2 linked regions of the Stegostoma tigrinum genome follow. The protein of the gene in region 1 interacts with the protein of each later gene in a pairwise test. Links are inferred from orthologs where the notes say so. Each region holds a gene or a part of one and is shown in the gene's direction. Other genes may lie near its edges.

Region 1 (12,003 bases):
GATAGTCAAGTGCAATCTGGGTCCTTACCTCATTCAATTTCTTCACATTTACAACTCCAATCAAGGTCTTTGACCAGGATAGGAAACAAACTGACTATCCTTTCACTAACACACCAAAATCCAGTGTGACCAACCACAGGGGATACTGCTCAGCTCTGAAGGTCTGCATTGTCGGGCTACAAGTCAGTGGCGTACCTGGCCTCCTTAGAATATGTTAGCATCAGCTCGGTAGACAGGCTAGGAGCTCACTAAAATAAACTGCCTATTACCAAGGATTACTGACTGGGTCTTCCCAGTGTCAGATTGAGAACAAATACTATTCCTCCTTGCCTGAGGCAGAACCCTGATATATGCACCAGGGAGGGGAGGAAGCCCATGCCTGGTTTGTGAATGAAGGATGCTCTATCAACACAATCAAATGCCTGGGACATTGAGGAATCTGCTGAGAGTGATCACTGATAAACTGCAGGAGTGGGAGGCATGTGTATGGAGGGAGTGGGATGGAGGTGGTGGTGAGAAGAGAAGGGGACGGGGTCACAGGACTGTGCTTTCGCAGACTGGAAAATTTCCTAAACAAAATGCACTGTTAAATGATAATAAAATGTGAGGCTGGATGAACACAGCAGGCCAAGCAACATCTCAGGAGCACAAAAGCTGACGTTTCGGGCCTAGACCCTTCATCAGAGAGATGCTGCTTGGCCTGCTGTGTTCATCCAGCCTCACATTTTATTATCTTGGAATTCTCCAGCATCTGCAGTTCCCATTATCACTGGCACTGTTAAATGATGCAACTTTAATCAAATTGAGAAGAGGGTGAAAATGGTGAGTGTGACTGAGCAGAAATTTACTCTCAATTGTAATTCCCCTAACACATCAGAACACCACAGTTATCTTATTAATTAACAAAGTAAAAATTCCATGCAATGTTTAAAATATTATGGCATGACTGATTTAGCTAGCTGTTTATTTATTATTTAATTCATGTAGTAAGATAATATAACTTGAGCTTGATCTAATGTGAACAGCTGTCACAATGAGCTATAAAACTAGAGCAGATTCATCAGGACTGCTGTTTGCAAACTCTCAAAAGCTGAGATTATTCTGATAACGCTTTTACTTCACTGATCAATTAGCTTTTGTCAGATTCCTATGCATAATTTAACAGCATCATTCAACTATTTTTTGGAAATGGGTTTGCAGGACATTTACGACCCATGTGCTGCTCCAAGAGACCTGCCCTAACATAAGCCTGGGTTGAAAATACCTGTGTAATATTTCACTGTGAGAGTTAAATCCGATTTTGTCCATACTCAAAATTAACACACAAGAACCTTGGCTAGTTCTCCTCCCATTGGTGTAGATGCCAACTTCGGTATCCTGACTAGGTGAGTTACGTCAACATAGACTGGGAATTAAAATGACTCCTTCTGCTCTCCGTTCACCTGGATGGCACACTCACTGAACAATCTGGGGAGCTTCCTTGCTTTATTTGGGGGTTGGGTGGGGGGGATGTTGCGCTGTATTCTCAACTATCCCATCCTGTGTTTACACCGTTGCTGTATAGCTGATTTATAACTCTGACCACAACCTCCTGGTGTGCATGAAGTGGGTCTGCTCAGTATGCATATTATCCCAGGTAAATCCAGCACATGTGGAATTTACTTGGTTCAGCCTCACACACGTGTTTATATAATGTGGGTGGCCATGTGCCTTTCCAGCAAAGTCTTGTGAGAGAAACGCTTGTTACAGACGTGACATTCGAAAGCCTTCTCACCACGATGCAGCCGCATGTGCACATTCAAGGAGCTCTTCTGTGTGAAACGTTTATTGCACACCGGGCACTGGTACGCTCGCACTCCTGTATGCGTGACCATATGTTTTATCAAGTAGTCCCTAAGCGAGAATGACCGCCAACACACGCTGCATTGATGGGGTTTTTCACCTGCAGAGGTGGGGAGAAATGAGGTCAGTAAATCAGAGAAAAGTGAGACTGCAATGGCAGAAAATGAACATCATTAAAAACCATTCAGTAGGTAATGAACTGATGGCCTAATGTGCGAGAAGCAGCAGACCGTGCACATATTCAGTTTTCATTGCCAACCTGAGCTAAGTAACGGATGCAACAGCATTAGGCGTGGAGGGTGGTGTTGCTCGGCGGTCACCATCAGCATCACAAGGCTAGGGATAAAGGAAAACCAAACAAAATTATTGTTCCTGACCACTGCCTTGTCACTTTGCTGGATATTCGGAGCCTGGTCATTTAAAAAGGTGGCTGGCCAGCCTCCAATATTGCAATATGTCTCAACATCTCCAGGAGAGGAGAAAGCATCGAGTAACTAGTAATAGTGAGCCAGGACTTGACGTACTTGGAGATGGCTTCCAGTTTGATCCTTCTTAAAAATGGCAAATGGCCCAGAACTGGAGAACCAGGCTCCTGCATCCACAGGTCTTTGTTTTCCATAATTGCCAGATCTGTGCTTCCTGGAACTCTCATTCTAGCCATTTCCAGCTCAGCTAACACCCAACCCTTGACATTCCTGCCTGGTCTTCCATTGGCTGATCCAACGAGGATAGCTGCACCACAGCAAAATTTGCAGTAACATATAGGTGCTCCTAGTACATATCACACAGAATTTAAAATAAGTCTTGATGGCGCTCAGAGGGCTCGGGTGCTTTGCTTTCCTGTCAGTGAGGGGATCTGATTCTGAATGTGATGATTGCTTTTCATCTATTGGTATTACATAAAGCCACGGCCATATAAAGCAACAGGTTTAATGATCACGATCAGCCTCATTTTATTCTCACTGAGTTCATTATGGCAAATGACAGCAGTGAAAGTCAAAACCTTTAGGAACTATGCCCCAGTGATAGTCAGCACCTTCAGGGAAGAAATGGAGAAAACTTAAATTAAATCTCTATTTATTCTCCACCAGTCATCCTAGGAATAGCATCTGGGTTAAAGAATGGGATTGAAAGAATGGTTTTAACTAAAATGAACAATGATGATGAACCCACCTGTGTGGACAAACATGTGCTTGGCGTAATTCTGTCTGGAACTGAATGTCTTCCCACACTGTGCACATCCATAGGGCTTCTTTTCGGTTTCACTGGAACTGTGACTGGCCTGAGAGGTAGCTGGGACTGTCTGGCCTCCATCTAGAAACGCAGCCGGGTTTTGGCAAGATGGCTGAGCTGAAATGCTGGGTATACATGTCTGTGAGGTGGACGGCAGAGCTGGAAGGTGAGGTGACTGAGGAACGTTCATCTGGAAGAGGTTTCGGTGACTGGCAGCACTGGCTGCATTATTATCTCCCTGAACATCATACTGCACAGAGCAGCCTTGGTTTCGTGGACTGTTGTGCACAGCTGATGCTGGGAGAAAGTCTTGCATGAATGTTGAAGGCCGTTGGTAGGATGCATCAAGTTGAGACTTGCAGTCTGCTTTTCGGTTTTGTGGTAAGGATGGTTCCTTCTCCTCTTTCTCTCCATGCCAAAAGGACTTCAGTTCCTCAGGTAAGAGATCACTAGCATTGAAAAATTCCAGCTCATCCCCTTTGCCGGTCAAGCTCAAATGACTCGCAGAATCTCTTCGATCCCCCATTGTGCTTTGATTGGGATCAAAGGCATTTGTCTCAGAGATATCCTCAGTTTGCTCACTTTGGTTGATATGCTCAGCAGTTTGATCGGAGACACTTGCACTGGAGATGCTCTCCCCACAGTAAAGGAGATCATCATCTTCTTCCTTGATGGTCACTTGACTTCCATCTGCCATCTGGAGGCGGATTGGCTGGCGCTGCTTGCGACTGTGGCTGCCTTGTGCTAACAATGGCATTTCTGGACGCTGATTGGCTGCAGTGTTGTACCATAGAGCACGTACCTCACTGTTACGGCCAGTGTCCATCAGAGACAGATTCTCCTGGTCAGCAATGGCCTGTTCTCCAACTCCCTTTTGTCGTGTAGATGGAACTTGTCTGCTCAGATTAGGGCTAATTTCTTCAGCTTTGTACCCTGTGTCACTTGTTGCCACGTTCTTTGTACCTCCGCGTACAAAATCAAAGTCTTTCTCTGTTCCATGAGGTGACAATGCCGTTTCAATTAAACCCATAGAAAATTTGTGGATCTGGTCACTGACTGACTGGCAAATAATGGCTTCTTTCTCATCAGAAAGGTCCATCTTTTGGCTGACTAATGGTTGGAGTCCCTGAGTCTTTTGTGAGGCATTTTGCGAAATAATGCGTGTACATTCATCAATGATGGTTTTAATCTGAAGGACACTTGCTGCTGTGAGGATTTGTAGAGCCTCCACGTGAGAGACCATCAGAGAGCCGCTGTACATGAAATCCACCAGCCGCCGTAGAGTCTGGGCTGAGACAAGGGGAGGAACCTCGATCTCGCTGTAACCCAGCAAAAGTTTATCGTGGAAAAAAGGGCTAGCTGCAGCCAGAACGCAGCGGTGTGCTCGAAGAGCTGTGTTGTGGATCCTCACTGTTACATCACAGAAATGGCCACCCAGGCGCTGGGAATTCAGTGTCTCCAGCAGTGACTTGCTAAAGTTTTGGAGGTTGATGCTGTGAAGCTGCTCCGACATCCTGCTCAGTTGCTCTGCACTGCCTGCAAACCAATGGAAAAAGTGAGGATGGGGGAAATGAAGACAGAGAGAGTGTGAGAACAACACGGGGGTTGGAGAAAGGGAAGCGGCTGGTGGTGTCATTCTGGCATATGTAGGTGGGGCTGTCTCCTCCCCTCACAACAGGATTTTGTGCAGGGGAGGGTAATGGTGGTCGTTCCCGTCCCCCTCACACAGCAGTGGGACGGGGGGGGATTGATATTCCCCTCCCCCACACACAGCAGTGGGGCGGGGGGGGGGATTGATATTCCCCTCCCCCACACACAGCAGTGGGGCGGGGATTGATATTCCCCTCCCCCACACACAGCAGTGGGACGGGGGGGATTGATATTCCCCTCCCCCACACACAGCAGTGGGACGGGGGGATTGATATTCCCCTGCCCCACACACAGCAGTGGGACGGGGGGATTGATATTCCCCTCCCCCACACACAGCAGTGGGACGGGGGGATTGATATTCCCCTGCCCCACACACAGCAGTGGGACGGGGGGATTGATATTCCCCTGCCCCACACACAGCAGTGGGACGGGGGGATTGATATTCCCCTCCCCCACACACAGCAGTGGGACGGGGGTATATTCCCCTCCCCCACATACAGCAGTGGGACGGGGGGATATTCCCCTCCCCCACACACAGCAGTGGGACGGGGGGGGGATATTCCCCTCCCCCACACACAGCAGTGGGACGGGGGGGGGGGAGATATTCCCCTCCCCCACATACAGCAGTGGGACGGGGGGATATTCCCCTCCCCCACACACAGCAGTGGGACGGGGGATATTCCCCTCCCCCACATACAGCAGTGGGACGGGGGGATATTCCCCTCCCCCACACACAGCAGTGGGACGGGGGGGGGGATATTCCCCTCCCCCACACACAGCAGTGGGACGGGGGGGGGGATATTCCCCTCCCCCACACACAGCAGTGGGACGGGGGGGGATATTCCCCTCCCCCACACACAGCAGTGGGACGGGGGGGGATATTCCCCTCCCCCACACACAGCAGTGGGACGGGGGGGGGATATTCCCCTCCCCCACACACAGCAGTGGGACGGGGGGGATATTCCCCTCCCCCACACACAGCAGTGGGACGGGGGGGGGATATTCCCCTCCCCCACACACAGCAGTGGGACGGGGGGGATATTCCCCTCCCCCACACACAGCAGTGGGACGGGGGGGGATATTCCCCTCCCCCACACACAGCAGTGGGACGGGGGGGGGATATTCCCCTCCCCCACACACAGCAGTGGGACGGGGGGGATATTCCCCTCCCCCACACACACACACACGTGGGACGGGGGGGTATTGTCGTGATGGAGTTTTTTGGGGGGTGGGGGGGCGTGAACGCTGTCACGTGCTTGCTACTATCGAATCAGCGAGCTGCCGAGGCGAGGCCATTGACCCCTGACCCGCTCCGCTTTCCTTGATGTACTGGAGTAGTCTGCGGGGGGAGGGGGTGGCGGAATTATCGTCAGGGCCTGGGCTGCCTTGGCACCCGCACTCTTTAGGTTGCATTCTGTTGGGCCGGTAGGGTCCCAGGGCCGCGCTCCCTCAGGCGACACTAACCTCCAGTCAGTCTCCAGCCGGGCCTTGCGTCATGGCGCAGCGCGGCGGCGACGTCAAGGCGCAAGGCGGATACCACCGACAACGCCTGTTCCGCATGCGCAACGACATCGCGATCTGGAAAAACGTAGCTGTCTTGATTGAAGCCACCTGAATTTCCTCAGAGTCTTCCCGAATATTTCTGGACCTGAGCTTTCCATTGTCGTGAAGGCAAGAACGCTACCTGCTCCCAATTCCGCCCTGCGTCTGAGTGCCGTGACGTAGGTTTGAGGCTCTTAGGTCGGCCATTTTGGTGAGGTCAACGAGGACAGAGTGAGGGAAGAGGGTTGTTGGGGGAGGGGTGGGAGTAGAGATAATTGGGATATAGGCTTGGGGGTGGTTCCGAGGAGTCGGGTGATGAGGGAACGACAGGAGATTATAGTCATGGGGCAGGGCAGGGTACGGATGGAGGGATAGGGGATGATGGGAGGGGTGTAGGTGGAAAATGGATGGTGTGGGAATGGGGGCCATTATACGAATGATATGGGGTGGAAATGGGAGGGGATTATGGTCAAGAGAGTGATGGGTATGTGGAGGGTGACTTGGATACGATGGATGGGAAGGATTGGGATGGGGAGAAAGGTGATGTGTGGGGATTAGTGGGTGGTGGTGAGTGGGATATAGAAGTGGGAGTAGGGAAGGAAGTAATAGGGATGACTGGAGGAAGAGAAAGTCAGAGGGAGGGTAATTAAGGAGACCCTGGGTGGTGGGAAGGGAATTGCGGTGGGTGTCAGTGTTGGGTAATGAGGAGTGGCGTTAGGAAGAGGGGAATAGGGTATAGGGTGAATTTGGAGGGGGGGATGATGGGGCATTAGAGAAATTGGAAGGGTGAATTGTGAAATGGTGGGATTGAGAGGGGTTGGATTTGGGTAGGGGACTGTGGGGAAGGAAGGGATGAAGCTTGTGGGAACAGGCAAGATGGAATAGGTGAGGTGATGGAGTAAGGCAAAGGTGTGGGGTGGTTGGGAAGGGGAGAAGAGAGTTAAAAGACAGAAAGGAGGGGGTTGGGCTGGCAGAGATGGAGTGGATGATTGAAGAGAAAGGAAAGAAGGGGAATGATAGAGTAGAAGGTAATGAGGAGGGAGAGAGATATTTGTACCAGGGTGAGAAAGAAGAGACAGCTTGGGGTGGGGGGGGAATAAGAGATGGGAGGTGAAGGGTAATTGTAAAGGGAATGGGGTGGGGGGACGGGAGAGGAGAGACTGAGTAGCAGGATTCGTAGGGTTTGCCTGCGGGGAGAGATGGTGCATGCTTCCATTTGGGTGTGTGAATGAATAGATGGTGTGTTTGGGCGCAAGCAAAGAGCGGTTACTGGCTATGGGGTTCAATGTGGTCTGACTCTGGTGAACTCTTCTTATGTCATGCAGGGGTCAGAGCAATGCCCCGACACTGCTCGGCTGAGGGCTGCACATCACGGGACACTAAGGATTCGAGAATTAATGGAGTCACGTTTCACAGGTCAGTGAGACCTCTCCCTATCCTCAGGTTGATTCCCTCAGTGAGGTCTGTTTAATCCCCCACCCAGTCATATTTTACTGTGGTCACGTTCACTTCTCATGAGTTTCATTTTACTTAGGTTGCCCAAGAAGGGAAGACATCAGCGTGAGATCTGGTTGCTGAATTGTTGCCGCAAGAATCCAGATGGGACAGTTCCGTGGGATCCACCGTCGCAGTTCATCTATTTCTGTTCAAAACATTTTGAGAAACACTGTTTTGAGCTTGTGGGGCTGAGGTAATTTGTAGCATCTGTCAAATGTTGGTCCAATATGCCCTGCTTCAACAAATCACTACAGCCCATTAATAATTTGAGTGGCATGGTGGTTCAATGTTTAGCACTGCTACTGCACAGTGCTAGGGATCCTCCAGTTTCTCTCCACAGATCAAAGATGTGCAGGTTTGATGGATTGGCCATGATAAATTGCCCTGAAAGATGTGCAGGCTATAGGTAGGTTGGCCATGGGAAATGCATGGTTATAGGTATAGGGTTGGGGTATTGTGGAATGCCGTTCAGAGCTGTGGTGTAGACTTGATGGGCTGAATGGCCTGCTTCCACAGTGTAGGGATTCTCTGATTCTATTACACACTGCTCCACAGATTACTATGGATTACCAGATCCATGTCTATCAGATCACCAAGACCTGATAGACTCTGGTTTGCCCAATCCCTGGAACATCAGATCAATTGTATCACACCTGTGGGCTGAAGAGTGGTAGATGGAGTGTAATTTGGATAAATGTGAGGTATTGCATTTTGGTAAAATGAACAAAGGCAAGACTTATACGGTTAGAAGTCGGGCTTTGGGTAGGGCTCTAGAACAGAGAGACCGAGGCTTTGACGTTTATGTCACATATAGATAGGATGGTTAAGGTGTTTAAGCATGCTTGCCTTCATTGTTCACACCTTTGAGTATAGGAATTGGGACGTTATGCTGACTCCTTTTCTGGAGTTACGTAATGCAATTTTGGTCTCTCTGTTACATAAAGGAAATTATTAAGTTGGAGAGGGTTCAGAAGATAGTTACCAGGATCTTGCTGGGAATGGAGGGTTTGAGTTTTAAGGAGAGGCTGGATAGACTGGAAATTCTTTCACTGGAGAATAGGAGGTTGAGGGACGACCTTATAGACGTTTATAAAATAATGACAGGCATTGATAAAGTGGATGGTAGGATTTTTTACCCTAGGGTGGGGGAACTTCAAGATTAGCGAGCATATTTTTAAGTTGAGAGGAGACAGATTTAAAAAAAGAGTGGCAATTTTTCCACATAGAGTGGTTCATGTGTGAAATGCACTTCCAGAGAAAGTGGTACACCTTTTAAAAGACATTTAGACAAGTTCATGAATAAGAAGTGTTTGGAGAGATGTGGACCAAGTGCATACGGGTGGAACTAGTTAGTTTGGGATTATGTTTGGCTGGCTGGACAGAAGGGACTGTTTCTGTGCTGTATTACTCAGATCCTTGTCCACATGATCTTTACAGTCTCTTAGATTGCCAAGGTCCATCAGATCCCTTAGCTCATCAGATCTTGGCTCACCTAATCACCACTGTTTATCAGTTCCCAGATCACCTGATCACCAGTCCAACAGATCCCAGTCCGTTCTCCCAAAACATCAGAACATAGTTTGGTGGATCACCCTGGCCTTTCAAATCTGTTGCCTTGTACCATCAGACCCAGGTTCCTCTGATCACTGTGGTCCATCATCACGCAGGTCCAACACATTACAATTGAGGCCAGCTTTATTTCCGGTGGGGTGGGGGGGGGGGGGGGGGGGAGATGTGTGTGTGTGTGGCGGAAATTCACTGCTTTCCTTGTTTTCTTTCCCCAGTCGTTATCACCGCCTGCGAGATGACGCTGTCCCCACATTATTTCAGCCATGTCCTCAAGCAAAGGTGGCGCTGAGTGGGGGACACAATGCAAAATCATTGTCTGTACGCACCAATGAATGGTGAGAAACTTCTGGTGACTGCTTCAGCCGTGTGATTCACAGGATGTATACTGCTTGGAAACCATTTACGCTGTTCACTCGAAATCAATATCTTAACTAAAAATGCTTTTTGTATTTCTTCTATTACTCTGTTCATTGACTCGGTGCAAATGGCTAGTGCATGCTCGGGTGTTAGAGACCAGATAGTTGATGTAGAGACTGCGGTTTCCTGTCAGGGGTAGGTGAGTGCTGCCTGTCTCCAACCACTGGATTAGGGAAGGGACAAGTGAGCCAAGACTCTTAATCTTAAAGTAGTTACCTATTTATGAGATGTTAAATGAGGGCACAGTCAAGCTCATTGTGATGCCATCTCAGTCAAGTATTCAGTAACTACTGCTTGTATGCCAACAATCAGATAATGGTCATTTTGGTTAGGCAGTGAAGAATGAACAGCACTCCAGAGTTCTTGAGAAAAGGGGGAGGAAACTGACATTAAAATATCCACAATTGGTCACTCCCTGTCCTTTTATTAACCTTCAGCTATTTTCCTTCCTATCTATCTAACAGCTTCACTGATGGCAGCGCCTGTTTACCTGCTCCTGATCTCAGGAATGCTGACACTAGCTCAGGGATGGCCTTCAGCATTTCTCAAGATGGTTCTTCCTTTGTTCTGGGTTATTCTGATCCCCAAGAGAGAGTGAGTGAAAGTCTCTGCTTGTATGAACCATCAACTCCTGACATACCACTCTCCATAAACCAGCCGGAGCCAGAAGCCACAACTCCTGCTGTCATTTATCTCATTGAAGTGAATTCACAGTCTGTTGAGTTGGAGGCAGCTGGAAATACAGAGGAAGCCTCCAAGGACATCTCATTGCCTCAGTCTGTCCTTCTGAATGAACAATCACCTGACTGTCAAGTGGAGCTGGATGATGACAGGGACCCTGTCCCCATTGCGTTGTATATGGCTCGCATTCCCAATCCACCTCCCAAACCTGGTGCCTACATTCCTGTTGAGCACAGTTACACTGTAGGCTGCCCACTGGTTTGGAAGATGAAGGCAGAGGCTCTGAAAGAGGCCTTTGAGAAGGTCACCAAGGAGCTCCGGGCCAGCAGGAAGCGGGAGAGTCGTCTGCGGGCACGAATCACGTCCATCTTGAGACCTCAAAATCAAGTGCTTCGAGATGGATGTACTGAATTGGACTTAACTGAGGACTACCAGCCACAGTTTGAAGTATTTGAGGTGCAAGTGGTGGATGAGGCTGTGGACCTGTAGCTACATTTTCTCTCACTCACTTATTTAACCAGTGCTGCTGATTTTTTGCTAAACAAACCAGCAGTAAAATTTGTTGAGGAGAGGAGCGGCAAATGTACGATAGGAGAGTGGCTGGGGAGACGATGTGGGATAGAGGAATGTGAAGCAATGTGGCTGGAGGGAGGTAGAGTGGGGAGTTTTGTTATGGTGAATGGAGGAGATTTTCTAAGCTCCCTCTGACTTGTGTGGAGTGACAGAAATCACACCTCCAAAGTTTGAATTATGAAGAGTTAACTATAATCTGTCGCTAGGTTTTGTGGTGTGAGATGAGGTGAATTCTTGAACATTTTACTGTTTAACGTAAAAGTAAATGTTCTCACTGTGATCTTAATGATTGAGAACATTGGTTGTCGTACAAAATACGAGGGTTCTAAATCATTGGTCTGTGTACCCTCAGTCATTACCTCTGTTCCAGAAGGCCACAAGAAATCGTACCACATTGTTGCAGTTTTTCCATTTGGTTTGCGGAATATTCAACCATGTCTTTCAGCACACAACTAAGCCCAGTCGTGCCTCTTTCAACAGTCACCCCTGTGCATTTTCTGGCATGGATACAGACAGAGAAAAGAAGGACTTTGAACCAGTTTTATTTTTCTTTGTCACCCTTGCCAGCTAACACGCTGGATAGTAAGGCCAATTACAGTCCCCTCGCTCTCTATTTATAGACAAAAAATATTGAAAACAAACTTGCTGCAATGACAGACTGCAGAAGCGATTGCTTGTGTCTCAATATTACCTTGTATCAGTGTTTGTAGATTGGCTGGCTGTCTTGGGATTCTGCCTGTAGGCTATGACTGTTCTCCTTGTTGATTTACCATGGCTTTTAGGAAAGCTCATAATTGTACAAGATAAAGCTGATGTGATTTGGCTCTTTCAAAATGCTCCTGGCCAGCCTCTGATATTCTACCCTCCATAGAGCTAAGGTTCGAAACCCCACTGACCACATCCTCCATCTTGTTAAGCCTCATTGTGTTACTGTGCTGAAAATCAAACCATGCTATCATGAAGTCATCACAAAGTTAAGTGTTTCATGAAAGTACACAA
Region 2 (12,393 bases), on another chromosome or scaffold:
AAATGTGCATCTTGACGTCATACACAATTAACACAGTCTTTGCGTGTAATAAATAATTTTCTATGCACCAGTATCTTCCTAATTACAAAACCACATTGAGAACTAAACTTCATAGGTATCAGATCTCAGTTTTAAAAATTCAGATGTTTGGATTAACTTTCTCACTGAACAAAAACAATTAAAATACTAAGTTTTAAGGGAGCTGTGTTTCATAAAATCACAAACAATTGCAACATTAAGTTTTGTATGTAACTGAAAGCTCTTTAACAGTATTAATGACATTCTTTTATTGGGAATCCAAGGTGAAGAATACCACTAAGTTGTAATGAATAGAGAAGATGTGGTAAATAATGGAAATGGAATAACTGGAAATGAGAGAGAGTACAGACAGACAGCTTCTCATCCTTCAGACACTTAACATTGTCTATAAAAATAGTAGTGACTCTCTAGGAAGATATTCCACTATTTTAGAGGCAGGTTTTGTCTCTCACAGGATAAAGTTATTATAAATGTCACAAAGGCAATAAGAATATAAAATGTAAACTATTTCCTCCTTTTAGCATTTTATCGAAGTAATTATACATTTATTTTCTTGGCAGGATGACCATCATCTTTCAGTAGTTCTCTGAAGACCCAACATGTGTGATACAAAAGATTTTGATATGCTGTTTGGCTGACACCAGCAAAGATTTTTGTCAGTGAATAGATCCATTAAATTACTGATGGATCAGTGCAAATATTTTAGGCTATGCAGTAAGTCATTAGAATTGTGCAATTTAATCAATTCCAGACCAAAAAAAAAACCCCTTGACCATTAGTACTAAATTAATACTTATCCCTACAGTTTTAAACAGTTTTAAAGCAAACTTATGAAAATTTGCTTTTGAGCATAAATCTGTATTTTAGAAAGGAAGTGCTTGATGTTCAAGGTTGTGAAATTAAGGAAAAGAATTATAAGCTGAACAATAATTTGCATTCACCAAAAGTTAAATACTGGTGAAAAGTTTACAAAAATATTAAATTTGTATACCAAGATGCAGAATCCATGTTATTAAAGCAGTGCAGTCGAAATTGATTCGTTATTTTTTGGAGAAAACTTGTCTCTGTGAAATACAGCAACGAGCCTAATATTTATGCAAGTGAAGATCCTGAATAGAGTTTGATAACATTTTTGGACAATAAATTCACGAATGGCTGTGGAATTCATGAATGGCTGTGGTAGTCTGAGTTAAAAGCCACCAATTCATTTTTGTGTATCACTCTGTAAACAAGCGTTGACGTCCATCTCAGTTTCCTCCTGTGATTCCCAGCATTCTAGATACCAACCTACAGCCAATTTGATTCACCCTATATGACATCAAATTACAACTGGGAGTTGCTGGGTACTGCAAAGGCAATGGGCCCTGAAAATATTCCAGCGATCATACTGAAGACTTATGCCCAAACTAGATATGTCCTTAGACAAGTTGTTCCTATCCAATTGCAACACTGGCATTTACCTACGGTATGGAAAATTGTCCAGTTATGTCTTGTACACAAAAATCAGGACAAATCCAACCCAATCAGTTACCACTCCAATGGCCTACTTTCAATCATTAATAAAATAATAGACAGTATAGTTGACAGTACTATCAAGTGCCAGTTAATCAACAACAGACTGCTGGCTGACACTGATATTGATTTCTGCCAGATCCACTCAGCTCTTGACTCATTGTAGCCTTGGTCCAAACATGGTCTAAAGAGCTGAACTCAACAGGGAAAGAGAGGGTCACTGCCCTTGATATCAAGTCAGCACTTGATAGAGTGTGGACCATTGAGTCCTTGAACCCACTGAAACTGAAATTAACAGGAATTCAAGGGGAAACTCTCCACTGATTGAAGTCATATATAGTGCAAAAGATGATAGTTATGGTTGTTGGAGGTCAGTCATCTCAGTCACAGGATATTGCAGCAGGAATTCCTCAGGGCCGTGTCCTAGGCCCAATCATCTTCAGTTCTGAGGAAGGGTCACCGGACCCGAAATATTAACTCTGATTTATCCTTCACAAAATAGCAGCAAAAAGATGATGTGTCAGCTGGAGAGGAACTTTGAGAACCCAAAATGTGTGGCATTCACTGCAGAATTCTTAGCCTTTGTCACAATGCTTGCACAGCTGGTTCAGTTCAATGTCTGGTCAATGGTAATCCGAGGATGTTGACAGTGACAAATTCATTGATAGTGACAAATTCAGTGATAGTAATGCCATTGAATGTCAAGGAGCAATGATCATATTCTCTCGTGTCTTGCCCGGCACTTATATAACACAAATGTTACTTGCCACCTGTCAGGCCAAGCCTCAATATTGTCCAGATCTTGCTCATTTGGGCACAACTGTTTCAGTACCTGGGATAATCACAAATCATGTCAAACATTGTCCAATCACCAGTGAACTTTGCTGCTTTTGACCTTATGATAAAGGAAAAAATCATTGATGAAGCAGCTGAAGACGAAAGGAACGAAAACAAAGTTGCTGGAAAAGCTCAGCATCTCGACATCTCAAATATCAAATCTCATTTTGTGCTCTTTGGACTGCCTCTGGTGGCACTGGTTTGCAGGATTTTGTGAAGTCACCATTGGTTAAATTTCACTAAAGATTTGAGATGTATGTTGTGCCTTGTCCATATTTCTGAAGCGCACAGGAATGTAAGTAATATTGCTGCCACAGACGATGAACTCAATGTCAGATTTGAAGTCTTTCTTAACAAACTCTCAGTTTCTCAGGTGTCTAAAGGCTGTGCTGGCATACTGGAGGTGATGTTGAATTTTCTCTTAATCTTTGTTCCAGTGAAGCAGTGATTCATATTGTCCAGAGGCTAGCCATAGATCTTGACCGTCACATTAGGGTTGAGTTTAGTTCTAGTGACAGTCCTGTACAATGGGAACAAGCTGGCAGAGGACCTTTGTCTTTCGGATGTTTAGCCTAAAGCCCATTGTCTTATATGTTTCGGTGAATGCATCAACAATGATTTAGGGTTCAATATTTATATTTCAATATTTACACAAAATTAACGAACAGAGTTTGTGTAAAACCTGCATCTAATGAATAGTACTTTGAGGTTAGTTATACTATTCATTAATTTTAGAAGCTGTAATGCTTGACAATAGCCTCTGTGTCATTGTGCCAGCTCCATTGTCTGACTCAGATGTTACATAGTTCCACTTAGTGGATTCCAAATTCTGTTCATCATTAATCATAGGTAGTAAGTGAGTGGAGCCCTGGAGTGCATCACTTGAGAGAATGGTGAAAATTAATTCAATAGTAAACAATCAAAAGGATATTTGGTGAACATTTGAAGGGAAAATGTTTGGAAAAGAGCAGAAGAATGAGATAAACTGAATAGCTTCACTTTGGTATAAGAATGATGAGTCAAATGATGTTCTTCTATACTGTATCATTCCATGCCCATTTTCCTCTCACGGGACAGGGACTTCCCTGAAAAGGCCACCATTCGTTGAGCATCCCTGATTGCCCTTGAACTAAGAGGTGTGCTGGGCCATATCAGTAGGCAGTTAAGAATCAATCACCTTGCTGTGGGTCTGGAGTCACGTGTAAGACAGGAATGGGAATGGAAGGGGATGAGAGAGAAGGTTGAACATGGCAGAAGCAGTAGGGGGAGGAGTAAAGTAGATTGATGGGGAGGGGAGAAAGAATGTGAGAGGGAGGAGAGAACATCCATATGATCAGGTGGGAGGGGTTGAGTTTCCACCACCTTCCTACCTCTCTCCACTGAAGTCCAAGAATGTCTGAAGTTGGCCATTCCTCTTGGACACCAGTTGAGGATCTTAAGTAGCTATTTTGGAGCAACTTAATGGCTTCATCCTGACACTGTTGTTAGTCAATCAGTTTCAGGTTTTGCTTTCTGTGGCGGATGAGACATACCACAGGGGCCCTCATTGTAAGCCTATCCTGTGACGGATTGAGAGACCTGAAATTGGAAAGGGTAGGGAGGGTGTACTCATAAGAAGCCACGACCCAGCCATTGTCAACCTCTTCCTTCCTGGCAATCTCATCCCAGCCCTGTAACCTGGCTGGAAAGGATTCCTTATCAATCCTCCGGTAAAAGCCCACTGCAATCCTGAGGCAACCACTGTTTTGAGTGGCACTTTAAGGGAATTTCTCAAGAGCACAACATGTCTGACTAACTTGCTGATTTTTTTAAAAGTAGTAACAGACGGTTCTTGAGGGCAATGCAGTTTATGTAGTATACATGACTTCTAGAAGAGACAGTTCAAACAACAGACTTGTGAAGAAAGTTAGATCTCAACGAATGACACAGTATCAATATGAATACAATAATTTTGAGTAATATGAAACAAAGGGAAATTTTTAATGGATGAGTTCCAGGCTGGCCATAGTTTGCACTGTTGGATTCCCCAGGTTTCCTTGACACATATTAATGATCTTGATCTTTGTGCAAAGAGCACACTTTCAAAAATTGCTGATGATATGATACTTGGATGCATGGTTCATTGAGAGGAGTATTGTAGTGAACCTCAGAAGGACATAGAAACATTGAGGAATAGACAGAGGCGGCAATCAATGAAGTCCAATGCAGGGAAGTTAAAGGTTTTGGCAGGAAGAACAAGGAGAGAAAATATAAAGGGTACAACTCTAAACGGAATGTGCATGTTCATTAAAGATAGCAGAACCGATAATAAAGCTATCCTGGGCTTTATCTAAAGGGACCCAAAACTTGTATGAGATAACAAAGTGTGGAACTGGGTGAACACAGCAGGCCAAACAGCATCTTAGGAGCACAAGAGCTGACGTTTCGGGCCTGGACCCTTCATCAGAGAGGGGGATGGGGTGAGGGTTCTGAAATAAATAGGGAGAGAGGGGGAGGCGAATCGAAGATGGATAGAGGAGAAGATACGTGGAGAGGAGACAGAAAAGTTAAAGAGCAGGGATGGAGCCATTAAAGGTGAGTGTAGGTGGGGAGGTAGGGAGGGGATAGGTCAGTCCGGGGAGGATGGACTGGTCAAGGGGGCGGGATGAGGTTAGCAGGTAGGAAATGGGGGTCTGGCTTGAGGTGAGAGGAGGGGATAGGTGAGATGAAGAACAGGTTAGGGAGGTGGGGATAAGGTGGGCTGGTTTTGGGATGCAGTGGGGGGAGGGAAGATTTTGAAGCTTGTGAAATCCACACTGATACCATTAGTCTGCAGGGTTCCCAAGCGGAATATGAGTTGCTGTTCCTGCAACCTTTGGGTGGCATCATTGTGGCACTGCAGGAGGCCCAAGATGGACATGTTGTCTAAGGAATGGGAGGGGGAGTTAAAATGGTTTGCGACTGGGAGGTGCAGTTGTTTACTGCGAACCGAGCGTAGGTGTTCTGCGAAGCGGTCCCCAAGCCTCTCCCCAGTGTAGAAGGAGCCACACTGGGTACAGCGGATGCAGTACACCACATTGGCGGATGTGCAGGTGAAAATCTGCTTGATGTGGAAAGTCTTCTTGGGGCCTGGGATGGGGGTGGAGGGAGGAGGTGTGGGGCAAGTGTAGCACTTCCTGTGGTTGCAGAGGTAAGTTCCAGGAGTGGTGGGGTTGGAGGGGAGTATGGAGCGTACAAGGGAGTCCCGGAGAGAGTGGGCTCTCTGGAAAGCAGACAAGGGTAGGGATGGAAAATATCTGGAAAATGTTGGGGTCGGATGGCAGACGGCGGAAGTGTTGGAGGATGATGCGTTGTATCCAGAGGTTGGTGGGGTGGTATGTGAGGAGGAGGGGGATTCTGTTTCGGCGGTTATTGTGGGAACAGAGTGTGAGGGATCAGTTGCAGAGATGCTTTTTCTGACTCAGCTAGAGCCCTGTGTCCAGGTCTGAACGCTGCATATTAGAAAGGCTGTGTGCGTGCACTGGGGAAGGTGCAGAAAAAAAAGATAGATTGGAGAAGTAAGGACTGTTTTCCTTTGGAGAAGTTGAGAGGAGGTTTGATTGGAAGCATTCAAAATCGTGAGGTCTGGACGGAGTAAGCAGTGAGAAAATGTTGCCGCTTGCGAAGAGACAGAGGACACAGTTTTAGGTTAACTGGGAAAAAAAAGTCAAGGTACTTTCACGAGCAGGCAGGCTCTCGAATTTTGCTTGAGAATTTGATGAAGATAAATTCAACCAAGGTATTCAACAGGGAATCAGACAGCTATCTGATCAATAACATGCGGGATTACGGAGAGATAGTACCGTATTAGACATTCCTTAGAAAATCCGGTTCAGACGTGAAGGGCTGAATGGCCTCCTGCTCTGCAACCTGAAATCTGCGAACTGTTGGTGGCTGTATCCTTTTCATATGCCCTTGTGCTGCATTCACTCACAAAGTGGAAAGGAAGAAGGTTTAGTGGTGACATTGGGACTGGAACGGCAGTTGGATTGACGGCGGAGTTCCGTTTTTGTCTCCTCCGAACACTGGGGAATAGCACAAGGCCAGGGCAGCGTGAGCGGGGGTAGGTTTTGAGTGGCGCTTTGTTTCTTTCCATTACGGTAGAGAGGGTCGGGTGACAGAGCCGGAGCTGTCTTCGCCGCAGTCTCTTCATTCATTCATTCAGCGATGCCTGCAGGTGGAAATTGGTGTGAAGCGGCGCCGGGGCCGGGGAAGACAGAGGCTCAGTAGGGAAATGTGTATCCTAGGGAGGGTGCCTGGTGGGGAACAGAGCTAGTCTGCTTGGTTTTAACCGGACTGAATCCCTTTGGACCAACACATCGATTCATAGATCTTGTCATGGAAGATAGTGCGAGCGAATTGTTGCCGGATCTGAAGGATCTGGAAAATAAGGTTGGACGTAAGACGCCAGAAGGCTTGCTGCGGTGGTTGCGGGAGGACGCAGCGCGGCTAGCCGGGGAGAAGGTGGACACTGCTGGGCCGAGCGGGGACCAGGCGGCGCTGTTCCCTGGGCAGAACAAGAAGCTGCCCCAGGGGCTGGCCGAGAAGATCCGAATGCTCCGGCTGGAAATGGTGAGGGGGTAGGGTGTTGATTTTTTTAAAAAAAACGTTACAGCTTGGCGTCTGCAGGTAAATTCTGGGCGAGTCGGCTGTAGCGTATGACTATCTCATTTCCGCCAGCAACGCCGTTCCTATGGAGGTTGCAATAAGTAGATGTTCGATACTTATATTGTCGGGAGCTCTGCCTAAATCCTACGGAAGTGCTCCCGGCATTGACCGGCTGCATTTAGCAAACAATTGTGACCCCCAGGCGGATCTCACCTGAGAAATCTTCACATTAACCCCTTCACTGAATGTTACGAAATGATCTCACACCTAGTCTTTCATTTTTAAAACTAAACTCACTTAGACTGATTTTAAGAAATTGTTCCTTTATCAGGTTAAAGGAAATACTCCCTTCAGGATTGGGAACAGTGTCGGGACCCAAGTCACAAGCTTCTGTACTTGACTCTGAGGAGGGGTCTTTGCTCTCTCCGCTGTGCAATAGTTTGAAAACTTGTTGAGGTAATGGGACTTGTTTCCTATTGAATCAACATTTTCCACAACATTTCAGTTAATAATTAACTGCTTCAAATGTGACTTTTGTCTTTTTTTGTTGAAACACTGAGTCAGTTTACAACGACGTTTGAATAGATATTTGAGTTAACGCTTCATTTCAAGTAAATTAATGTTGCTGGCTGATGCAAAATAAAAGGTCAGGTGCATGAATAAGTGATCTGAGTTAGCTCTGAGAAGAATCCATTCTGCATTAAATTGGCGAGGATCTCTGATTGTCAGTTAGCAATTCGCGACTTTTGAGGCTAAACCACGCCCTAATCTGAGTAACCCATAGACACTCGGAATTGATTCCTGTATCTATCTCGTCTCTAGGATCAACTTCCACTCAAGGTCAGAACTAACGCCAGTACTGGAGCCTTTGCTTATTTTATATACAAGTTACTTAACTTTCCCATTGCGATTTGTCAAGTTATAATTTCCTACTCCACCTGTTTTGTCTCTGGGGGTCGCTTTGTCCATACGATCGGTCCCTCCCACTGCAAATTTCACTGAAGATTTATGCTAACGTTGCGAATAAAGGCGTAAGAAATAGTAACAGGTGTAGACCATTTGGCCTCGTGAACCTTCCATCATAAGATTATGGCTAATTTTTTACCGTGGCCTCAACTCAGAATCTTCCCCTCCCCGCACCCCCTATAATCCTGATTTTCTTGAGGATCAAAGGTATTTCTAACAACCGTGATTAAATTCAACAACCCAGTTTCCCGTTCCAACGATTAAGAGCCCTCTGAGAGAAAAGAAATTCCTTCTCTGTTTTGAAACCCCTTATTCTTTGTTCTAGATTCTCCCCACAAAGGGAAACGTTCTCCTAGGATTTGCCTTGTCAGGCACACTTAGAATCTAATTGAAACATAGAGGATTCAAAGCCTTCTAAACTGTAAGGAGTAGGGTCCAACCTGTTCCCTTTGCTGGGTAAAGAATGGGTTCATCCCAGGTGACTCTGAACTTTCTAAACTTCATCCAATGTGAATATAAACCTTCCCCAATAAGAAAGCAAAGCTGTATGTAGTATTTTAGATGTGTTCTTACCAATGCTGATTTTGTTCAAACTAAATACATTGTGCTCTGATAAGACTGGTGGTGTCTGATGTGCAGGAGCACAGGATATGTTTGAATGAGCTGTAAATGAACATTACCTTTTGACGTGGCAACTATGCATTCTTCAGTTTTTGTCTTACAATTCCAATCACTCAAATTGTATAATCCCCTATCCAATATTCATCTGCTTTGTAATATTTCTACAGTATATGAGCAGGTTATTTCTGATACAGCTAATTATGTCAAGTGAAGCAGTCTTTAGAAATGAAAGAGAATTTGTAGGTTCAAAAACAATGGGTTTCAGAGGTTGATGGATCCAAAAATATTGGGGACATGGGAGAAGTGAAGTGGGATATTTACCCATTCCTCCTTCAGTCTTAGAAATTTAACATTCCTATTCTTAAGAATATACCCTTTTATAGGAACATTGGAGCAGGAATTGGCCATTCTCCTGTACAGTGCCCATATCCTTGAAAATTATGCAAGTAAAACAAGTTTGAGTACACAGTGTATGCTATAATATACTCCTGACATATTGCAAATTTAGGGGTTTGAGATATTTCTATGATTGCATAGATCTTTATGCTAGAGTATTAGAACTGGTGGCATTCCTAGTCAGGATTTCCTATTGACTTGTGGGGAGATGGTGGGCTGTAGTGTGCAGTATTGTTAAGAATCTACAAACATGGCAGGGTGCAGGTAATGCTAAAATATTTGGCTGTAAGTGGGTGACTGGCCTGCAGAAGATGCAAAACAGCTTCGAGTATTTCTCCAGATTTGTTGCTACTGTTAGTGATACTGATGGTTCTGACTTAGTCCATGCATTTTATAATTAGACTGTATTTGTTGTATTAGATTTTGACCAACAGGGGATGCAACATTTTGTTCATAGACGGAAATCTGTAAGTGAGTGAGTTTGAAAGGGGTTAATTTTCCAGGTTCTAGGCTGAGTATGAGAGAGTTTGGGTTCAGAGGATTGGTTAGTGGTTCTCCTAGCCAAAGGATGCAGCAGCATATTGAGGAAGGTGCGGTAGGGTCCGTGTGTAGGTAGGAATATGGGTTTGCGGCCTCAGATCTGCTGAGCCTTGATCCAGGGTCGGGTGAATGTACTAACTTTGGGTAATGGGAGGTTTAGTGATGGAGAGGAACAGCTCCGAGAGAGAGTTTACACTGGAGTATAAGCATCCTAGACAAAATGATAGACTCGAAGAGACTGCCACAATTTGTATCAGGTTATTATAAAACCTGTTAACTAATCCATGCCAAAAAGATTATGCCACTGCATTCAGACGGTGTCCTACCCGCATTATCCAAATTGCTCGGTGTGACTTGGGGAAAAGAAAAGATTCAATGTTTGCGCATCATACAGGTTCATATCCTTGCCCCTGACAGATTGCAAACAAACTGGTGTAGATTCCATAGAATAAAGGCAAATGATATTATAGAAACAATTACTTCTGTGTTGCCAACTGAAAAGGCATTCAAAAGATTTTCCCCCTTTATTCCAAAGTGAGAAATGATTTAATTACAAATTTATGTTCTAAAACCTTCTTCCTAATGCTCAGGAGTGTTGCCCCTTCAAAAAAAAATTAGTGTCCTGAGATGTGAATAGAAACTGCTTATCAAAATTGCTATTATTCAATGCATATACAGATATTGTGCGTAGCACAAACTGTTACCAAATAGACAGGTTAAAACTTCATTTTTGACATTGAATTTCAGCTATCTTTGAGAGAGAAATTTGGGAAATTTAGATTGAACAGTGAAACACATCTGTGTATTTTTGGGTATCGGTGTTTCAATGTCAGTAGTTTAAAACCATGTAACACTTGTATTTGTAACACAAGGAAAGTAAACAGGAGGAAGCTACATGTAACTCCAAAGCAAACCAGTTCTTTTCTTCCCCTTTTGCTGAAGCTGAGCCAATTAATTTCACATCCAAAGATGCTGTCAAAATGAGCTGCGTCATGATACCAGTTATGACAAGTAAAAATAGGCCTCCACTTCACATGGGTAAGGAGGGTAAAAAGCATCCTGGGTTCTCATCTCCAACAGCCCCATATTGCTTATACTTGAATGGCCAATTGAATGACTTGCCAGAGAGTGACTGATGTCAATGACGTTGTAGTTTTTTTTGGTTTTGATCTCTTCCAGAAAGGAAATTTTAATTTTCTATCAGTAAACTAGAGATTTCATGTATTTCAATCCTGTGAATTCTTGAAGTGTGATTGAACAGCTTATTTCGAAGTGCAGTTATTTCAACCGCAGTGCAATAATAATTCACATTCAGATTCTGAGATTGTTGGGCCTCTTTGTGTGGGAAGAAGTTTACCACATGGTGGAGCTAACTCATATACCATTGTGACTGAATGGTGAATGCATAGTCTGCATCATTTTTGGTTTTAAATGACATAACCAGGTCCATTTTACATTCCTGATTTATGTTCCTCTGTGACAAGAACAAAAACCTGCACTTGTGTAGTACTTTTATTGTTGTGAAATGGTTCTTTGTAGGAACATTATCAGACAAACTGTGACAGTGAGCTTCATAAGGAAATATTAGGTCAGATGATCAAATGCTTTATCAGAACTAATTCTTCAGGAGGGAAACAGGAGAGAAGGGAGAGATTATGGAGGGAGTTCCAATGTTTAGAACTATTAGCAACTGAAAGTGTGGCCACCAATCATGGAACAATTAAAATTGGAGATGTGCAAGAGAATAGAATTGGAGGAGCACTGCTGTCTTACAGAGTCAAGGCCTTGGAGGGAATTGAATAAAAGGATGAGAATTTGAGGTTATCCTTTAACTGGGTGCCATTGTGAGTCAGTGAACATGTAGGTGATGGATAAATGGGCAGTGTAACAGCTGGAAATTCATTAGCTGACAGGCAAGGTCATTAACAACAGTGAACCTATCATCAGTGCTTGTGTTCCATCGAATTGGAATGTTCTTAGAGTGGAGAGCAGATAGTTGTTGAAATTATGCTGGTTTAGCGAACAAAAGCATTATGGGACAGTAAAGGTTTACAAAGCAGTACAGCCTGGCCGTGGGGGAAAATCCTGACCACCCCCAGATGGGCTTGGCCTGCTGTGTTCATCCAGCCTCACATTTTATTACCCCCAGATATTAGTGGCTTGTAGGAGCAAAGCATTTTGTGGTGTATCACTGTGTAGTCAGTTATAAGAGATGTGGAGGTTGACAACATCAGAAGGATCAATGTGTGATCCCACAGGAACCTTGGTATCTGACTCTTTATAGCAGAAAGTTTGTTTTCTATATTAGCTTAAATGTTCATTACCACCCCTACGTACTATGATCATTCGCTTCATAGCTGACACCACCATAATTGTCAACCAGGGGCCAACCACTATGACTATTGATGAAGATATGGGCGATAGTGACCAAGCATTATGGAGATATGTTGGTGGTACATTCCAGAAAGAGAAGCCCTGGAGTTTTTTTTTGACACTAACTCATTTATCAGGCTTGTGGTTCAGTTCGAAAGTTAGAGGGCTAGATTTTATAAGATATTTTGGTCTACATCCCCATCCCCATTCCCACCCCAAGCTTAAAATGTTGTGGGGAGCCAGCTCATTGCCCCAAATATAGCTCCACCGCAACTTGAGAGCACTTTAGGGTGAGGCCTTTGCCATTGTCTTGCGAGGAAGCCATGCCTTGAAAAGCTGCCAGTTGGTTGGATTGACCAACTTGATCTGTCATCCCACCAACACCAGTGGGAGCATTGGCAGCAGCTGGGAATGCAGGTGATCTCAGCATACCAAGCATCCTGTTGTTAGTTCATGATTTCAGATGGGCATGTGAATGAGTTG

What was found.
Region 2: the proteins of thap7 (region 1) and lurap1 interact in a two-hybrid assay, tested with the Homo sapiens proteins (2 studies listed by BioGRID and IntAct). The two-hybrid records come from large-scale screens. The link is inferred for Stegostoma tigrinum from reciprocal best matches to the Homo sapiens genes THAP7 and LURAP1.

What each region holds. Positions count from the first base shown.
Region 1 is NC_081391.1:26,350,149-26,362,151, reverse strand, and holds the start of thap7 (THAP domain-containing protein 7), read left to right. Parts: upstream 1-7,158; 5' UTR 7,159-7,243; coding exon 7,244-7,295; intron 7,296-7,592; coding exon 7,593-7,683; intron 7,684-7,801; coding exon 7,802-7,957; intron 7,958-9,548; coding exon 9,549-9,668; intron 9,669-10,214; coding exon 10,215-10,920; 3' UTR 10,921-12,003. Other genes in the region: zinc finger and BTB domain-containing protein 20-like, read right to left, coding at 1,686-1,942, 3,016-4,588. UniProt on the Homo sapiens protein: Chromatin-associated, histone tail-binding protein that represses transcription via recruitment of HDAC3 and nuclear hormone receptor corepressors.
Region 2 is NC_081361.1:65,209,965-65,222,357, forward strand, and holds the start of lurap1 (leucine rich adaptor protein 1), read left to right. Parts: upstream 1-6,507; 5' UTR 6,508-6,744; coding exon 6,745-6,978; intron 6,979-12,393. UniProt on the Homo sapiens protein: Acts as an activator of the canonical NF-kappa-B pathway and drive the production of pro-inflammatory cytokines. Promotes the antigen (Ag)-presenting and priming function of dendritic cells via the canonical NF-kappa-B pathway.